2 linked regions of the Lytechinus pictus genome follow. The protein of the gene in region 2 binds, or shares a complex with, the protein of the main gene of each other region. Links are inferred from orthologs where the notes say so. Each region holds a gene or a part of one and is shown on either strand. Other genes may lie near its edges.

Evidence for each region. Proteins that work in one complex are often made in the same cells at the same time.
Region 1: vacuolar protein sorting-associated protein 8 homolog (region 2) and transforming growth factor-beta receptor-associated protein 1-like share a complex: the UniProt entries of both Homo sapiens proteins name them as parts of the putative class C core vacuole/endosome tethering (CORVET) complex. The link is inferred for Lytechinus pictus from reciprocal best matches to the Homo sapiens genes VPS8 and TGFBRAP1.

The regions. Positions count from the first base shown.
Region 1 is NC_087250.1:18,851,659-18,862,193, reverse strand, and holds the start of transforming growth factor-beta receptor-associated protein 1-like, read right to left. Parts: upstream 4,404-10,535; 5' UTR 4,390-4,403; coding exon 4,246-4,389; exon of another isoform or gene 4,046-4,245; intron 2,575-4,045; coding exon 2,458-2,574; intron 2,000-2,457; coding exon 1,947-1,999; intron 1-1,946. UniProt on the Homo sapiens protein: Plays a role in the TGF-beta/activin signaling pathway. It associates with inactive heteromeric TGF-beta and activin receptor complexes, mainly through the type II receptor, and is released upon activation of signaling.
Region 2 is NC_087245.1:17,276,870-17,287,387, forward strand, and holds the start of vacuolar protein sorting-associated protein 8 homolog, read right to left. Parts: upstream 4,752-10,518; 5' UTR 4,390-4,751; intron 380-4,389; 5' UTR 368-379; coding exon 290-367; intron 1-289. UniProt on the Homo sapiens protein: Plays a role in vesicle-mediated protein trafficking of the endocytic membrane transport pathway.

The DNA of each region.
Region 1 (10,535 bases), on a different chromosome or scaffold from region 2:
CTTTGTGAATTCCTACAAACAAGCCTTAAAATGTCCACTTCAGATCTGAATTTCCTATATTTTATTAGTGTGATGCGTGTGATAATCATGATTACAATGACTAAAAGTGTTTCATCTGTTTAGATGTATATAATTGTAACAAAATCAGCAAGCGCTTGGCACTCGCATTAGATGACTATGGTGAGATATGTATGCTCTTAATGGATTCCTGAAATGTAGTCCTCAAAATGTCCCTGTTTGGGGTCAATGTATACAAAAATTTCAGCTCGCGCTTCGCGCTCGCATTGTTTGTTTAGTGAGATAGATATGTATCATGATTACAAAAATTTGCTTATAATGTCCCTTTTTAGGTCTGAATATAAAAACAAATTCAGCTCGCGCTCGCATTATGCGGTCAGTGAAATACATATCCGTTTAATGGCACTGTCCTTAAAATGTCTATATTAGGTCAGTTTATCTGGCAACTGAGCGCGCTTCGCGCGCTCACTAAGTGACTAAAAAAATTTCTGGTGCCCCCCCAATGCCGTGACCCACGGTACGCCACTGTCAGACAGGATATTTTTCCCTGCATTTGTTGCTTTGTTACCACAATAATCATTATGATGGCAATCATTTCCATCTCCATCTGTCTTTGGCAAATTGTAGTTTGTAGTTGTTATTACTAGCCACTATGGCCCTTATTCTGAAGTCAGGTTTAACTTAGACCATTAAACTCTGTGCTAAAATTATGGGAAGCCAAAAGTGTCAAAATTTTTCTTAAGTTGTATGTTTCTTATGTTTACTGTGCTCTTTCCTGATTCATCGATGGTGAAGACAATCATCTATTCATACTTTCTACACAATTATGAATGATTTGAGAGCCAAATGAGGTGAAATATTATATCTCTACTGTTAGTGATTTATGTAACAATTGGCTATCCATACTTAAACCACAACTTTAAACCCGAGTTTAAGTTACACCCGACTTCAGAATACGGACCTATGGAATTAAATGATGTCTTTCACATATTGTCTTCCTCTCCTTCTCTTTGTTTAACATCAAATAACCTTTCCACTGTCCAATTGTATATATGAATACAAGATCAAACCGAGTCCCATCTCTTGTATAAATTCAATTAAACATGAGTAATGATATACATGCATGAGCCCATTGTGTTTGTTGTAAGATTTCCCAAAAAGCAAACTGGATATACCAAAACTGAATGAAAAACAAAATAAATCCTAATCCTCACTAGACAGACAAGATCTCTTTTTTAATATTGACTTGAAATAAACTGTGATGCACCTGGGTGCTTTTGATATTCAGCATTCTGCACTCCTTTTTTTCATAGTATGCATAACAAACTGGAGTTGGCAAAATGATGTAAAAGGAGAGATCGACACATGTCCTACCACGATGTATGCTACACCAGGGTAATGATAGGAAGTGTCAGGAGTAACACAAGTGTTCTTATCACATCCATTCGCGATCATGATCGCATCATCTTCAAAATTCTTCTCCTTGTATTACATGCAATTAACGGTTCTGCTCCACAGTACAATATTAATCTAATTAACAAATACACTGTCAGGTCCCTACGTTCATCCATCTCTGGTTACCTACATGTAGTTATTCCCAAATCCGTTAAGACATGGGGGGTTTGGGCTTTTGCTCACGCTGTCCCTGTTCTCGTGAATGATCTTCCCCTGGTTATCCGTGAATGCACTTCCACTGACACATTTAAACATTACCTTAAGACACGTCTATTCAATGCTTCCTATTCTTAATTGTTCCTGAATCTATCAATAATATATTTGTAAGTTTTTCTTTCATTCTTTCTTTCCCTGCGCCTTGGGCACTCTGCCGAGTGGATTTGGCGCATTACAAATCCCATATACATGTGTATTATAATTATTATTATCATTATTATTATTGAACCCACCCACAAATAATTGTATAATCTTACCAGTCACTTGTCCCAATGTAGAGATTCTTTCCACAGCATTCTATACATTCAATCTATAGGAAAGAAAGATGAGACAAAAGGAGGACAAGACAAAACAAAATAAAAAAATTTGTTCTCTCATTTCCCTCCAGTTTGTCTTGTTCCTACCTCTAACTTCTTCAACTATTCTACCCTCCTTCTTTGTTTCCCCTTTTTTTCTAAAAATATCTCCTCATATATCCTACTGCTGGCTCAATTTAAGTAAGGATATGAAATATAATTTTCCTGGTTATCACATTGCAATCTAGTCCAAATTCTTTATAGACTGCTACACAAAAAGTCCTTTGTGTAGCAGAAGTTCTTTTTGTACGAGAAAGCAAAATTTTTCCTTCAGAAGGCTCAAATCATTATGAAAATGATATTTAATCGATCGAAGAAAACAAAAAATATTTGCTATTCTTTCAAGTCTCTGCTATCTTCAGGAACATACAAACATGACATCTACATCAAAGTAAAAGTAAGTTGAACTTACTGAAGTTTTGCTTGTTCTCTCCCCAAGTAGCTTCAACCTCTCTACGGCTGGAACCAGTTCAAAAGCTTTCACACTCATCCTTGAAGTGCCTTGTGATATGATGTCGTGGTAATTTTTCTATAATAAACAAGTCCAGAAAAACGATAAACATATCTAGAGACCCACCATAGCAAGTTACATAAAAAAACCTACATGTGCAAGTTGCAGTAGCCATTCATTCGCACCCGCATTACCCTCAAGGCAACTGTCAAATCTGGGCAGATCGGTTTTATAATAAAATTTGAAACTTGATTATTTCACAATTTATGAAATAATAATTTTTATCCATCAATTGTTCTTCAAAACGGCATCGCTAATCGGATGTACGTCATAACGAAGCGGTTCACAGGTCAGACCTATTGTATTTGCTTTGTCACCGTACTTTGTGTAGGTGTGTTGCAAAAGCGCCCTCTAGGTGCATTCTGAATGAAGCATTGAGTGTGCTGCCTATAATCTCAGGGTGACTGTGGGGGCATTGCTTTGTATTGTGTTTGCATGTGCATGGAAAGGTTATTCCCCATGACATCATTGTTTTTACGTAGTTGAATGTTTATGGCAGCTGTCTAGACTTGAAAAAAACTCTCACTCGGTGATCTTGCGACTCTGTGTGCTACTGGAACTTTGGCCTTGCTTTCAACCTCTGAGTCTTGCTATTCATATTTACAGGTATCATCCCAATTTAAAAGGTACATTCATTCCGATAGAGCAACATTTTAACTATATTGTGGTGAAATTTGAATGAAATCAACTGACGCTAAGTGTGTTTTTTAAGTCCCTGTTTCGGCGGCTTCTGTAATTTTTGAGAGTGTTGTTGGGCATTTCCATATGCCAATGTATGCGCATTGCCATTGGTGTTTTCTATTACTTAGTGTACCTTGGTCCCAATTAAGATCACAACTTTTGGCTTAAAAAACAAAGGAATACATAAGAATTGAATAGGCGATTTATACGACCTTAAAACTACAATAACTTTCTTATTTCTGGGGCTATTGAGATAAATGAGGTGTTAGATTATTTAAACTAAAGGTCTTGGGAAGGATGTTTTAATTGAAGTTGAAGTTGATGAGCTCTAAATAATGCCATGAAGAAAACACCTTATTTCTGAGATTTATTTTTTTTGCAACATACCGTACTTTGACCCTTTTTTTTTTTGTCTTTGTTGACAAACGGATTGAAGGATCTACACGAGATCAGTCTGGTACGTAAAAAACCTCTCATTTTTGCCATTAAGTGAAATAATTTGGCATTATCGTGATATTGGGAACCACCGTTCACTTCATACAGCAGTGCTTTATTCAGTCACATGCACGGTTCCCTATTTCCACCTCCATTCACTTTGTCTTTGCACACAAGTGCGCGTATACAAATCGACAAGTACGAGTGGTTCCCGAAACCACGATTTGGCCAATATTTAATAATTTTATCCCTTAACTTAAGTTCATACGCATTTGAAGGTTCAAATATCAAAAAAATTCACACCTATAAACCGATTTCACCCTGTGTGTAAATATGGATACAGAGACTTCAGTCCAGAGACAGAGTAACTTACCGTACTGAGTTAGTAGTCGAGCCCGCAGACAAAACAATTCACAACGCCCACTTTGGTTTTTAGTGATTTTACCCACGCAAAATTGGATGCATGGGGCCGAAGACAACAGAACCAAACAACTTTCAAAATTGGGTGCATGAAATTACCTCCGTGAGTGTTCTTAATGACAGAAAACAATATTATAAGAACATGAGACTCACATGTTCTAAGCCTAAGGCCTGGTTTGTATCATAAATTGGGAGCAAGACTCCGAGGGTCGACGTCCGGGATTTTGATTCGGTGAATTTACGACAGAATTTTGAGACTATACCGGTCACGATCGGAGAGGACGACACACAAAACATCAAGAGTTGACGCATTGATTCCCAGAAGGAAAAACCAGTAAGACCATTAAGAATTTTTACTGGTTTCCAGTAGAATTTTACTGGTTTCCAGTATATTTTTACTGGGCCAGTTGATTTTTAACTGGACCAGTAAAAATCAACTGGAGACCAGTTCAAACAATTGCATTCCAGTTGAAGCAAAGTAGTAATACCAGTTAAATTGTTTTTCATCAAACTGGTATTACTGGTCCAATAAATAATTACTTTATTTCAAGTCAGATCATTTGACGAATTATGGAAAATGAATCTTGCAATTCAGAGAAAGTTATTATCGTTATCATTTTTATCATCATTCTTCTTATAATTATCATAATGATTATTATTATGATCATTGTTGTCATAATTCTTATTACTGTTATCATTGTTATCGATATTGTAATAATTATTATTAATATTATCATAATTATCAAGTATTAACATTATCATTAAAATAATTATTTCCTTTAATTATGATTAAGATCAAAGCAAGATATTTTCCTCTGTTATAGTCAACTGGTCTAAAGTAATTCATTGTTTGAAATTAAACTGGTCAAGACCAGTAATCTGATGATGCTGATCACGTGGTTTACCTCATTTGCATATTTCCTATTTTAAAAAGAAAAATCGGGATTTAGAATGGAATATCCTTGCAATGGCACTCATTGTTGTTTAAAAACTTTCCAAATATTGGATATTACAGGGGCCGCGGGCTATGGGGCTTCAACCCCACCTTTTTTCTCCAAAATCGTGTACAAAAACGTAAAAATTACCATCTGATAGTGATTTTTTGCATGGTCAGCCTTCCCAAGCCCCCCCCCCCCCCCCCACCCCCACTCTCAAAACCATTCCGTCGCCCCTGCATTAGACCAGCTAGATTTGAGACGACATGGTCATACAGTCGAACTGGTGTTTAGACGAAGTGATTGGGACAAAATGGTTGTTAGACAAAATTCCTGATGGACGGTATAGACGAAAAGAAGATAGATTCTGTGATGAGTGGACGGGTGAAGATCGAGTTGGCGATAAAAGAAAATCTCTACCCCCTCTCTCTCCCTCCCTCTCTCCCCTCCCTTTTTTTCTCTCTCTCTCCTTGCTCCCCCTCTCTTTCCATTTCTCTCTGACTCACTCACTCTCTCTATTAAATCAAATCACGTTATATTAGCAGGGGACAACAAAATTGCTGTGCGAGAATAGGGTCTTTAATAGCTTAACAGTACATGATAATGGGGGAAACAAGAATACTTTAAGCAGAATGGATATAACAATCCACTGAGTATACAATCTGCTATACATAATCAAAATTTGCGAGGAATAATTTTTGTCAAATTTATAATTAGTCGTTTTATATACTTAGGGCAGGGTTTCACCTGACGGTATGTTGAAGTGCCACATTCGTTATCGGATATCAATATTGTGCCATTGATTGATTGATTTGATTTATTTATTCCGTTTTGAATAAGGGATATAATATAGGTTTTCCCGTCGAATTTTGTAAAAATCAACCAATTTAATGATGTAATAATTCAATTTGCAACTAATTTGAAAGACTTAATTTAATTAAGCATTTGACCCTTTAAATGTTGATCTTATACATGTTATATTAAATATAACATGTATAAGATCAACATTTAAAGGGTCAAATGCTTAATTAAATTTAATTTTGTTTATTATTTAAACATGTATAAAGAACGATCAAATTGAAATAGCTGAAAAAGTGTTTTCAAATTATCACCGGTACCCTCCTTGCGAACGTTTAGGAATTCAAAATCATAAATATGCAATTACTTATAGGACATGGACAGTGTTTTTCGTAGGTGTTTTTTTTACGTCTTTTGAATAAATATGGAAATGGGATTACTTTGAAATTGGATGTTCAATACCATGTTTCTCATCCCTTTCCCAACACAATATAAATCATAATTATGTAAAAAAAAGAAGAATAACCGTTTACACCCATATATCCTATAAGTGTTACATGAATTACGTCTTTATCAAAGATAATGGAATAAAATGAATCTAACTAAAAAGATCAGAAAAAATAGAAAGAAAAGATAAAGTTTGAACAAATATTGTATAAAGTAATAAAAAATGAACACGAACATGTTATCTGAATTTGGACGTTTAAAGTGCAAATATGTGTCCCGATAAACGAAATTGAAAATAGTATTTAAGGCGAAATTAAACGATCGATCAGCCCGTCGTAGCGAAATTCAATGACAACTTTGGGCCATTAATTTGAACGAATCTCTCTCTAAATTGAATTTCTACAAATTCAAAGGAATGATATAAAATGGAATTGAATGCTGTATAAATTAAAATTGAACCATGTGTGCAGAGGGTGGACAAAAATCTTTCGAATTTGAACGTCCTTTTACTAATTTAAATGCATTTCTGATGAAATTGGACGGGAAAACCTTTATAATTCAAACAATTTTAATGAGGATTGGTAAAAACGGCGAAATTATGTTCGTGGATGTTGTGGCCGGCCATTAAAAATTTCAATCTTAACCAAATTCTGATACAGTACACCATGACATGGTTGATTCAACAGCAGACCTATTATTGCGTCAAGTCCCCAAAATTCAAAAGAATTCACCGAAGACGAAATCCAATACACAAAAAGCTCAAATAAAGTAAGGGCGTTTCCACACGCGAATCTTGAATCATCAATGCAATAATGATTGCAATTGCAGTCGTGACTTTGATTATCGTTCGTGATTCTAATATTAGGTTCTAGTTTGATTTCACACGTGCTAAATATTCGTCATTAGCCTTATTTTTTTCACTGGAATCATCATTCAAATTACGATTGTTTTTACCTTGTGAAAGGGTGGTATGAGGGCTAGGTGTAGTCCGTCTCGCGTTAATTAAAAGGAATTTGATATTTCATATGATTTTTTTTTTAATAGTCGAAATAGCAAATTATCATGTTGGTGTAGCTTGTCAGGATTAGCACACTTTAATTTCATTTCGTTTTATCTCTTCTCATTTTAAAGATTGAAAATGTACCTTCAGAAGATTCAGTCTGAATTCTACGAAATTTGAATTTACTTTAATGGCATCCTATAATAATAATGGTACTTATTCATCGTAACTCAAGCAAGCAGATACAAAATGATTTACAGAGTACTATATAAAATTACTAAATTACAAAACATTATTACGATAGCAGAAATTCTGAATTGTAGTAACAATGTTTACACGATAGGTGGCCTGTAACAAATTCCAAATACGTATTATAATTAAATATTAAAAAGTATCAAGGGAATGTGCACTTACAATATAAAAATAAATAGAGAGGGGAAAACAAAAGAATGGCCGAGAAAGAGAGTCGGGAGAAAATTAATAGAAGAGAGAGGGTGTGGTAGTCAGGAAAACAAGGTGGAGTCTGAAGAGATAGTGTGAGAGAGCAGGGGGAATAAAGAGTAGGAATAAGAAAGGGTAGCCAGAGCTATACAAGACATAGAAAGATAAAAAGGCGAAGGAAGCAGACAATTGCGAACAGAAAACATAATTCTCACAACTGGTAATACAATACTGGTAATACAATACAATACAATACAATAGTATAACTGGTAATACAATACAATAGTATAATATCCGGTATAATATACATGTCCGAATAAGAAACAGCATCTAGTGATCTCATTGTGTAAGCTTTGTGGAAATAGGGTATATATATCCGGAATAAAAGGACACCAATACTGTGATGTGAAATAGCAATAAACTCCCTACGCTGAATTTTCCATAAGCACATTGTATGAGATCAATTGAATCCTGTGCCATTCGCCATCAACCACTACAACTGCGTTGTTCTTCCTATCAACACAAAGTCCTCTCAAGTAGTTGAAAGTCCACCATCCTCGAGTGACATCTCCAATCGGTTTGTGGTCTTTATCCAACACCGTCACTGTCTCATCCGTGTAAAGTAGACGAGAAGTATCGGCGCGAGCAGTGATGAAGATGTTGTCATCCTTGTCAATGGCAATGCCTCGGTAATGCCAAGACAGTTTTGAAGTCGGGATTGTTACGCGCTCTTTAAATTTACCATCTTGATTAAAGATACGAATAGCCTTAAAATCTGCAACATATAGGCGATTCTTTGAGTTGAATGCAATGAACCATGGACTGTCTAAGTTACCTTCTCCTATCTTGTGGGCAAACTTCCCGTTCATGTCGAAAACATGAATACAATTCATCCCCCAATCTGCTACGTACACCTTTCCATCTCGCTTTGCAATGCCAGTTGGGTTCGTGAATTTTGCATAACCTTTGGTCCATTGAGTTAGCTTCCCATTTTTCAACTCGTACACGCATCCTTTGCTCTGCTTACCCATATCCGTTATTAGAAAATTGTCATCAACTTCTGACAAAGCAAGGATGCCGTAAGGTAGAAAGTTCTTCTGGGAGCAGAGGACTGTCCAAAATGAATTACTTGGGTTGATAGCAACTACACGGTTGTTATACGTATCCGCCACGACATAGTTGTCCTTGTGCAGCACAACACCATGAGGTCGATTCAGCTGGGCTTTGAGAGGAGTTTGGAACAGAGTTGACATTGCCATGATCAGGGTTCTAATGATACCCTGGAAAAATAAAAAAAGTGATAAATCTCCGTTAAGCAATTGTTGCTCAAGCAAGTTTTGATCCTGCATGGGTATATGGCCCTGGACCAGTGGCGTACCTAGGATTTTCCACAGGGGGGGCAAAATCGACCGCCCAAAAAATTGACAAGCAAAAAAAAAAAAAATAAAAAAAAAAAGGTCTTCAATCAAAAATAAAGGTTATTGTACCAGAAAAAAAAATGACAAGCAAAAAAAAAAAAAAAAAAAAAAAAAAAAAAAAAAAAAAAAAAAAAGGGCTTCAAGCTCGTCAGGGGGGCAATAAAGGTCTTCAAGCTCGTAAGGGGGTGGGGGCATAAAAGGTCTTTCAAGCTCGTCAGGGGGGCAGTGATATGTATTTTGTATGGGTTGTGGCTCGTCAGGGGGGGGGGCAGAGTGCCCCCCCTGCCCCCCTGTAGGTACGCTAGTGCCCTGGACGATTCCTAATTCGCTCGACAAAAAAAACGCTGCTGTGTACTTGCTACGTTTCTTGTTATAGCCATGTAGGTTTTATTTAGAGGTGTTGTGCCTCAGTGAAAGAGTCTCCAGAATTTGAACCACAAGGTCCAGGACCCCAAACCCACAACAGCACTCGCGTCCTTGCAGTGAAAATAGTTTAGTCCCCTCAATCAATTAGTGTCCCTACCCCCGACAGAAGTAAGTCATGAATATTTTAACATCTGTACGATGATCGAAGAGACATGCAAGACGGTGATGTTCCGTGCTAATTGGTCTCTTGAAAATCATAGTTTAAGCCTTCACATTTTCGAAGGAGTAATGTATTTCGATCCAGCACAAACGTATTTTTGAAACGCAAACTTATATATTTATATATATCACCGAGTTCATTAATTTTGTCTTCAGTCCAAGTAAATAATGTAGATCGCCGGGTGTGCATGCGCATTTGTGTGTTTTTCAGGTCCAATCAACAAATGCCATTGATTATGTAATTGAAAATCATCAAAATCTCTTTTTATCTCTTTTTTCATTCTCCCTTCTTCTTTTCTCGCCTTCGTCATGCATTAATTCTCAATTCCGTGGGTGACGATCTGTGTTCATGGTTTTGGGGGATGACTGATACAAAATATTTTTTTTTTCGGGGGGGGGGGTACGCCTTTAGTGGGTCTCAATATTTTTAGGGCCAGACATGGCGGAGAGGGCGAAATCTTTTTAAAGCTACAAGTAAGCCAAGCGCGAATTTTACAATCTAACCTTGGTCATTTCCGGTCATTTTTACATGATATTTCAAAATATTTATCAAAGTGCACCATTTTCTTTTCCATTCCTAATTCTCTCTTTTTTGGGGGTTCTTTTTGATATTCTGATTATCATTTCGCTTGTATTCTCCAACTATTTTACATCATGAGCCTGAATGAATAAAAAAAATAAAAAATGACTAAATAGATAAACTAAAATAGATGAATAAATAAATAAATGAATAAATAAATAAATGAATAAATAAATAAATCAGTGATCGATACTCAAAATGGGGTAAAATAAACTGGGTACAGCCAATGCGCTTAATAA
Region 2 (10,518 bases):
CACCATGTATCTTTCGTGGGCGATTGCGTTCTTGTCGTCTCCAGGAGAAAGACGGCAAGAACACACTTGTCGAAACGTCAAGTTTGCGTGGTCCTTTTCAGGACCAACAATTGTTGCCCAAGAAAGATACAAGATTATTTGTCCTAAAGGACAACTTTCCCCAAAATTCCCCAGATAAGTGAGAGCTGGAAAGGCTACAATCGATGGCACCATATTGGATCCTGAATTTGTAACAGTTTCAATTAGGTCATTTTTTAAAATGACATAATGAGAGGCATTTCATACTTACTGTAACATCATCAAGAGTATAGTCGAGTATATCTGTAGCTGCTATTGCCGTTTCAACCTCATCACCAGAATCCTCCATGATGACAAACTTCTACAAAGGAGAAAAAATATTTAGCATTTGAGTGGTATTGGTGAAAGACTCATTTAGGAAGACATCATTTAATCATCTGTTAGAATAGCTGTAGTATTTATGAACCAAATGTTCATTTCTATGTGCAGACCGCACACACACAAAGACAATTGGCGATTATGGAGACAAGCAACACGAATAATCATGATATATTGCGACAGGTGAAGACGTCTATAAGGATGATGATGTCATTCAAGTTGGCAAATTTACAAGTACTACTGACTTTTTCAATTAAGAGAGGTTTTCCTCATTCCTGAGGAATTTTTCTCAAGCTGCAGTCTAAGGTATGAAATTTCTTAATGTATTATCTTTTTTCCTCATAATGGAGTAATTAAAAAAATAATTAGTCCATTTCTGTCCGGGATATTTGCTCCACTGAGACTTCATCTGGCTCCTTGGCATCCCCTTTGTCAATAGACCGAATTCTCCCATAGAACTTGTAGTGCCAATGCTTTGCACGACTCTTAACTGCAGCGTCTATGTAGAAAAGGGTGCACTACCACACCCTCTTTGATTTTTCTTTAATCCCTCCATCTGATGGAGAAAACAAAGCGTGTTACCATGATGAATAGGGCATGAACATGATTGGCTGGTGCATTCGCATGCTCAAGCTGCGATACAAACATGACGAAGAACAATCGATGGAACCCGAGACCGGCTCTTTGCAACAATCATTAAATTTACATCACATAATTATGTTAAAATGTTGATTTTCATTTACATGTTTTTTCTCCGTCAAAGGGGGGGAGGGAATTAGGAGTAATTGGTGTGGTAGCTCATCCTCTTCTCTTTAGATGCTGAAGTTAAGCGTCGGTCGAAACTCCACCATTACGAGCCCTATGGCTATGGCCAACATCTGTCTGAGTAAAAGGAGGACCAAAAATTTTTTAAATAAAAAAAAAACTCCTCCAAAACAGCGGATATATCAATGTAGATACCATATTATACATCAAAGGTTTTGAATTGATCTAGGTCTAAATATCTGTGGATTGATTTTATGCTGGTCAATGCTGATGCTTGAAACTGAAAGTCTGACTACTCTGTCAGCTTTTTCAACCTTATTGAGATCCCAATGTCCCATAGAGTGAGACAGGGTGGTTGCACTGCACTATGAAAGTGGTGTCTAACTTTTTCACACTAAAACACAACCTAAACATTTTTAGTTCTCACTATCTGCATGGGCATGGCATGGACTAGACCGATAAATAGGTCTATTTCTGTCAGGGATATGCTCCGCTGAGACTTCGTCTGGCTCCACGGCATCCCCTCCGTCAATAGAATGATGAGGGCCATTGGGCTCGAAGTGGTGGAGCTCCACCGATGCCTTAACTACATGTACAGCGTTTATGAAGAAAAGGGTGTGCTGACGCATCCTCCTAAATTTTGCTTTTTGACGGGGAAAAGGAGAAGAAATAAAGATAGATTTATATTAAATACATTCAGCTTACCACCTTTCTGAAAAATATGATGGAAAATAGCGAATTCTGATGACGAACAGATCAGGATCAGCAAGGTTCTTCTATGATCGCTCGATCACCATCAGCGCAGCTACAGGTGAGCATACAAACGTGCCAGCTAATCCCCTGATCCTGATGTGTTTGTCATCAAATTTTCCAGCATATTTTTCAAAAAGGTGGGCAGTGGTAAGCTGATTGTATTCAATATAAATTTATTTTATTTCTTCCTCTTTTCCCTTGTTAAAATTAAAGCAAAATTTAGGAGTAATCGAGGAGGTTGCAAAAGTGAACCCTTTTCTCCATAGTCGTTGTAGTTAAGGCGTCGTTGAAACTCCACCATTACGAGTGCAATGGCCATCATCCATCCGTCTGTGTAGGAGGAAAAAAAATGTTGAAAAACTCCTCCGAAACAGCGGATTTATGTCGAGTCTGCATGGGCCTAGGCCTACATGTACAATTGTACGAGAATTCAGTCTACAAAGTATGAAGATCAACTGGTGAGTATAGCCAGCGAAAGTCAGTGGAACAATCAGTTGTATGGTAGGGGGTTCTAAAGCTACGCACTACTCCATTGCGCATGCAATTTCAATGGCAAATAAATGCTCACTCTAGCTCTGTGTGTGAAGCTTAAGCTGTGACTGTATAGAGTGACGAACGATCCCTATTCAATATTTCTACAGAGTGCTTTCAGAGGCTGCAATAAATCCTTGAATGCAGAGAAAACCAACAATTTTTTGGAATTTTGGAGGTGGAGTAAAACCCTCAAACATCGGACGGTTCCAAAAATGACTTGAACTCCCTTCACTGTAACTACAGGGACCCGAACTGGCAGGGGACTTGCATGCATAAGAATACATGAACATACATGCTATTGAGCTGCACACACAGTAGATCCAAGTTGCTGCTCAAAAAAAAAAATTCCAGGGGTTAAATCCAGCGGTAAAATCCATAATTTTGACTTCCAGAGATTCTTACGACCCTCGCTAATTATGGACTCCAAAAGATCGATGACCAAAAAAATCTCGTAAGGGAGAAGTGACTTTCGTCAGAAACATCGCCGCTGCGAGATCGCACATGTTCGATCTATCGCAAAAAAATCTGCAAAGAAGAAATATGGCACTATCTCAAACATCGGACATATCGGCCGATTGAATTGGAAATGCGTGCTGTTAACGCGCGCGCAGGTTTCAAGAACGAAGTCGCGTGCAGCTGAGCAAAGAGCCGAAAGAGGTCCGTTGGGTAAGTAAATTATCATTATTTACCGAATTCTATATCAAAGTTATTTATAGTAATAATCAAAATTGGCATTTGCGCAGCTAAAATAAATCATTTTATCAACAAGTCAGCAATTTAATAGCCATACTTGAAATTATGTTATCCCCCCCCCCCCCCCGTTCCTGCCTTTATCTTAATTTCTCTTATCTTTGCTTATTGATTTGTATAATATATACTTTATTCATCGTGTAATCTTTTGTGTGTATCATGTGATATTCTAAATTATTTTGTGCGAACAAATTGAATTTCCATTTATAAATCATGATTGCAATTGGACAATGAAAATATCTGAATCTGAATTATTTTGGGGTCTACAGCACGATTTAAATCGCCGAAATTGATTGCGGCCAACAACTCTACTCGTCCAATATTTGGAGACGGCATCCGATTTTGGGCAAAAAAACAAACTTCTGGTAGTAAGTAAATAATTTCTGTTTAGCATAATAATTTTTTCATTTCTATTCTTTAATGACATTAATATTCAACATTTGTACTACGGAAATAAACATGATTTATATTTGATGCAACAATTGTATTTTTGTTTTAGTCCAATAATGCTTAAGTGTCCAATATTTGGGCACTTTGCTCTATATTCACTCTAATTTCTTTTTTTCCTTTAAATTAATAACACAGACATATTTTAGAAATTTCGGAACAGTAAATACTACTTCTTTGCATAATAAATCGAGAGCGTAACTTTTTAGGACCCCTTCTAAATCGGGCGGCGAAACACGGCGGGATTTTCGTAATGCTATTAGTGAGTTTTGTAACACTTTCTTCTTGGTTAAGGATCTTTAGAATTATAGAATATAATAGATCTAACTTAGAACTAGGCCTAGTGTCTAGTGACGTCTATATTTTACAAAATTAGGTAGGCCTAGTGAAACTTGAAGATGATTTGTTCAAATATTAAAATTGGCATAGTTTTTATAGTTTGAAAACAAAGTGCGTAGCTTTAGGTCCCCCAATCATACAGAGACTGAAGCTTTTGGTCTACACTTAAAGTGAAGAGACTAAAGAAAGACATGATTGAAAGAAAAAAAACGACTGACAAAACAACAACACACGTCAAAGTCAATAGGTGGGGCATAGCAGACTGGATTTTGCTCCTCGGGACACTTGCCTTGGTCTATTTTATGAATTAAAGTAAACCTTGAAAAGTGGACAACGTTTGCATAAACTATGAGCAAAACTCAACACAGACTTCTTTTTAAAAAAATCCTTAATACCAGTACTTACAAGTAATTCAGCTCAGACTCGACCTCAGAATCAGTCCAAATTTGGCTAACCGGCAGACAACAGCAGCAGAGTCTGGACTACGCCCCACAATCGAAGCTCCTGCCGGCCTAGCTAGGCTATAGAGCCTGCATGCATTTTATGCCGCGCGGGTCATTTTTTAATAATTTTTAATATCCCCCCCACAAAAAAATCCATATTTATTGTTCGAAATAAATTTACTTAATTTCTACAAGGCACAGATGAAATAATTTAGATTATCAAGTTTCATTAACTGATAGGTTCTGAAATATCCCCCTAGCAATTTTGTCTCTCCTGTCTAGCTCATGTTTTGTCTTTCCTCTCTCACCATACGCACTTAGAATGTTGGGCAACATACTGTCCACTGTGTTGGATAATGTATGTTGGTAGAAATATATATATTTATATCCAACTAAACAAATTCATTACCCAATTATGTAAGTTTTTATTACCCAATTTGGACAGATTTTTAACAATAGTTGTGTGGACAGTTGTATGTTGCCCAAAGTTGGTTACAAGTTGGACATTTTTGCCCAACTATATATTTTTAGAGTGTAGACCTATTTCTGTTTACAGCACCATTCGCACAATCATCCCCTTGTACTCGTTATGTTATACAATATCCTATGATTTTGTAATGTTTTAATTATAAAGTGACCTCGTTCAGCCCTCACAAAATGATTTATATGTGTCTGCAAGGAATATTCGACATTGAAACTTCCATTTTATTTGGGGGGTGCATGGGCACCGCTGAACGCTCCTTGGTATTGATAGCTTTGGACATATTGGGTATGTGACGTGGGGGTTGTATAACTAAATCATAAATCACTCAAACTGTTGGAATTTTAACAAACTTTGAAGTAAAATTTCTCTGAAATGGGTTTGAAATGTCGTACCTGCATGTGCGACGGTTCGATTGATCACCGACGACATGGTCATCTAAATGGTAAAAATAGCGATGTGAGATGGACGAACGCGTGATGTCGATCAAAAACAAAAAATCATTTTCCAAAGACACTACGAGAAAGAGGAAGGCAATAGACAGATAGAGGAACTGAGAGAGAGGGGAGAGGGAGAGCAGCAGACTGAAAGAGAACTTGGCCACAGAGCATCATTGCGTCCAACCGACATTTGGCATTTCTCAAAAGTTTTGGGCATTTTTATTAATATCCAGTGTGATGAAAATTTTGCCCATTCTAAAGTTATTGCTGCTTGTTTTTTTTAACCTTACTGGACAACATGCTTCCTGCGTTGGGTAAGATACTGCCTCAAATTGGTTGAACACATAATTACCCTCGTGGTGGTAAAATTTTAACCAATATTTTTTTTTACAGTATATGCACCCTATTGGGTGCAAGTGCACACACTTTACACCCTTTAGTGTGCAAACTTACACCCTATGGCCTACACTGTAAAAAATGAAGTGCTAATTTAGTGACTGCACTACGAGTGCTGATTTTCTTGTTCAAATTTATAAACTAGAAAATCGGCACTCGTAGTGCAGTCACTATACAAGCACTGTAAGTGCCAAATTAGCACATCATTTTTACAGTGTAATAAAGGGTGCTGTTATTGTAACTAGGGGTGCAAACTCGATTTTTTTTCTTAGTGTGCACGTAACTATTTCGTAAAGTGAAGAAAAAAGGGGAAGGAGACGAGAAAAACAGCTAGAAGAGGGAGAAAAATAAAAATGCAACGTGATGAGAGTTGTGTAACTCTATACCCTTTTATTACAATGATAAAGAAAACATGATTTCAAAGTTAGGTTATCGTGCTCTTTTCAATCTTGGCATTTTGATCACCCAACATCTATAGCTATATAGAATTTATTTCTCATGTACCTTTAATACCATATTAATAATTGCTATAATAATTTCTATAGCTCTTATTTTTATTTCATGGTTTAGGGAAGTAGCTGGAAATAGCTTACAGTTGGAATATTATTGAACTATAGTATTGGATGACGAGGAGGGTCAGGAGCTGGCATAGTAGGTAAGAAGTTATACGAAAATGATTCAGTTCTAAAAACTAGCGTTCAGTTTCCCTTCTTTTCCCCTTTTAATATAAATAAGGAAGAGTAAATATAATAATAAGACGGGGAAAGAAAGCAAGAGAGGAAGAAAGTGTGTGTGTGTGTGTGTGTGAGGGTGTGTGTGTGTGTGTGTGTGTGTGTGAGGGAGAGAGAGAGAGAAACATCCAAGGGCGGCTGGAGAAAGATAGAGAAAGATGTGAATAGATAAAAAAGTAGGAAGTTTCCGAACTGAGACGCAGAACGCTTTCAAGTTCAATGGAAATGTATTGTCAAATGGATTTAATGACAAAAAAACAACTAAAAACTCTTTGTCGAAGATTAATAATCAAATCAGCAGATCGCCCTACACTTTGCACAAACGACATTTTGCAATTGTTCGTCCACTCTGAAAATGAGGGCTAAACTGCTGTTCCTGTTCACCAATTTTCGACAAAGCCCTCCCAGGTGTTTTATTTGGCGGGCATTTTCAATACATTTACTTTTTTTTTATTTGATCTGCGTCGCGGTTTTTTTTATTAATTATTAAAGTAACACAATCACTGAAAATAAAAATGGGGAAGTGGACTTTCGTGATTCGAAAGTCCGCTCCCCCATCGTCCCGCTTTCAGTGGCATCATTTTCATCTTAGACATCTCTTATTTATCCAAATATTAGACTTTATACATTGTCACTTACCTGTAAATGATAGGTACTGACATTTATATTCATTACGCGACCGGTTCATCCTAACTACAAATAAAACAGTGAGAATAATATATACATTTTTCGAAAACCTAAAAAGACATCTGAAATTTTCTGATGAGTGACTATGTAATGGTGCTCTTTCTTTGATGAAACAAAAGAATAAAATATTTTGCACACCCTAATACAGAACAATTTCAAACACAAAAAAATATGAAATTTATTTAGAAATGCTAACATTTACTTGATCTCAATGAATATTAAATATTATTTAAATAAGGCGTTAATTAAAAAATATAAGTACACTGATCATGATTTTAGAAGAAATAATCACCTTTTCCTAATTGGAGTTAGATTTACTTAATCGAAGCAAGGATACATGAAATTTGATAAATGTATATGAACCCAAATAAATCAAGTAATTCAATTGAATTAAAATTCAAGTTAAAGCTACCTAAAAATCGAGAAATAATTTCAAATAATAAATTCTACTTATACAGTGCGTATCAAAAAAAGTTTACACTGAGACAAAATCCTGTAAAATTATACATTTGTAATATCCTGAAGATTTTTCCACATGTTAACATGGGTACAGATCCATTTAAGCAAATGACGATATAACTGTCGAAAAATATTTCCGCTTGGGTGAGCACCACTTACTTTTGAAAAGTTAGTGAAAAATGATTTGCGCAGAACTTTGAAATAGTTATGCGAATAACAGTAGACCTTAATAATGAAGAACACATGACATTTAGCTAGTAACATTGATTTGAAGATATCTTTTTACCTTTTTAAACTTGTTTTCTTACCCAAAACACTTCGAAGAGTGCCATTGCGCCCCCCCCCACTCCCCCACACACCGAGGCCATCGTGACGATATTTACACTGAGCTGTGATTTACATGAAATGGCTTAGGCTTGATTTTCATTTTGTTAATCATTGTCAAGCTTGGGAAAAGTGTGAAGAAACAAGAATTAAATGAAAAATGAAATGTAAACCCACTTTAAATAATAAAAACTTGAAAAACGTGAAAAAATGCTGGAGATGTCTGATATAAACATTTGTTTAGATTCAATTATGTCCTCAGATCCAGCTGGCACAAAAAGGGTAAAGGTTGTGCTTATTAATTTGTTAAAATTTTAAATTGAGTGGCAAAATTGTTACAAAATGCTTGAATGTATCCGTTTTATTTCAATTGACTAAAAGTGCAAGGGAAATGTATGAAAAATGTTTCACAGGGTAAGTTTGATTTCGCCTTTTCCCCTCGACACAGTGTGAAAACGAGCTTTTCTGCGCAAACAGATTTACAAAAATGGACAGTACTCACTCAAGTGTAATATTCTGTCAAATCTTTTACTTTCATTGGATAGATGAGACCCAAACCCAAGAATATATGTGAAAAAATTACCCACATGTATTTTTTAATTCCCAGGGCTTTTTCAAAGTGAAATTTTTTTTTTGATACGCACTGTATACATTAAGTGTTAAATACTTATTAAGATAATTTTTTACCGAGTATTAAAACAACGTTCTATAGTGTGTAGATACCTCATTATTTTGCATTAAGTCTTATTTTACACTCATTCTACAATATCAAGTTTGTTTTTACATTTATATATGATGAGCTACACAAACTTGAAGATTGAAAACACCCTAAAAATGTATCACACGAGTCACAAAATAGGTCCATATTTTACATTGCTTGAAAAGTATAGCAGATTGTATGAATTGTAGTTGATTACTTCTGAGGATCTTAGGACCTCAATAATTCCAGCAAAAAAAATTTCAATGTGTAAGCCCCTTCATTATGAAAAAAAAAACACCAGGGGGCCGTTTCATAAAGCTGTTCGTAAGTTAAGAGCGACTTTAAGAACGACTGGTGAACCTTTCTTACAAGTTGAACCATCGCCAATTAACATTTTGGTGTATATACCATTCACCACAAGAAAGGATCACCAGTCGTTCTTAAAGTCGCTCTTAACTTACGAACAGCTTTATGAAACACCCACCTGAACAGAAATGTCACGCGAGTCACATTAAGATTTCTTAGGGTTCTCATGCGAGTCACGTTTTTAGAAATCTTTGAAAATAAAGAGAATTATTGATTTTTTTAAAGATTAACTTTGCCTTTAAAAATTATTTCATGTAGAAGGCTTTAAGATTACATTAATGGTAATAATGCTTTATATTGATTAATCAAGATAGATAATAACAAAACACATTCTAAGAAGAATGTCATTTTCTGATCAGCCATTCCTTAGAATTAGATACCCAAGGCTTCAAAATTTAAGCTTTACCATTTAACAAATAATAGTTGTTTTTTGCTAAGTGCATGTCTAAAAGGTGTAAATTTGATTTTCACTGCCTTTCACCTTCAAATGACCAGTGACACCATCAGAGTAGTAAAATTTACATACCTTTTTGGTACTTTTTTAAATAACACTCATTCATAATAGAAAAAATGGTTCTGTTGTCTGTAAATACATCATTTTTGTATTCTGTCTAATTTTGTAATCCATTATCAATTTGTTTTTGCGTAAATCTAGTAGAACAAATCTTTAAAAATATTCAATATTGAAAACACCCTTGAAATGTATCATGGGAGACACAATAATACTGCAATGTTTTACTTAACTTAAAACGTAGTAGGTAGTTGATAAAAGCATGATGCGAGTAAGGAGCATAAAGTACCAATTATACCGGCAAAGAATATTGCCAAGTGTAAAACCCTTCATAAAAACAACCCCAAAGTATACACATACTTTAATGGTACTCCATAGCATAGGTGGATCCTGGGGGGTGGGGGCCGAGGGGCCCGCCCCCCCCCCTTATGAAGGAGCAAAAAAAGAAAGAAAAGGAAAGAAAAATAAGGGGGGAGGAAGGGAAAAGAGAGGAGAAAAAAGAAGAGGAGGAAGACGAGTGAATAAAATAAGATGAGGGGAAGACTTGGAAAAAAAAAGAATCTTTCATGTCACTTTACAAAATTTTCGCTCGCGCTTCGCGCTCGCATTGCCTGTAAGGTGATTTCCATATCTTGTTCAATATGGAGTTTAAATATCAAGTTTGGAAGTCAATATACAGAACATATCTCACCTCGGAAATCGAACTTTCATTATTTTGTGTGATCTACAAATTGATTTTTAAAAAGTGCTCTGTAAAAAAAAAAAAATCATTTTTATAGTATGAATATTAACATTATCTGCTCGCGCTGCGCGCTCGCAAATTTTGATTTATCAGGTATAACTTCTGAACGTTTCCATGGCGAAGAAAAATAGTGTAGTAGGTTTCACGGTACACCATGTATCTTTCTTGGGCAGATGTTGGTCCTGAAAAGGACCACCCAACCAAGAGATTGGGTGGTCCTTTTCAGGACCAACATCTGCCCAAGAAAGATACAT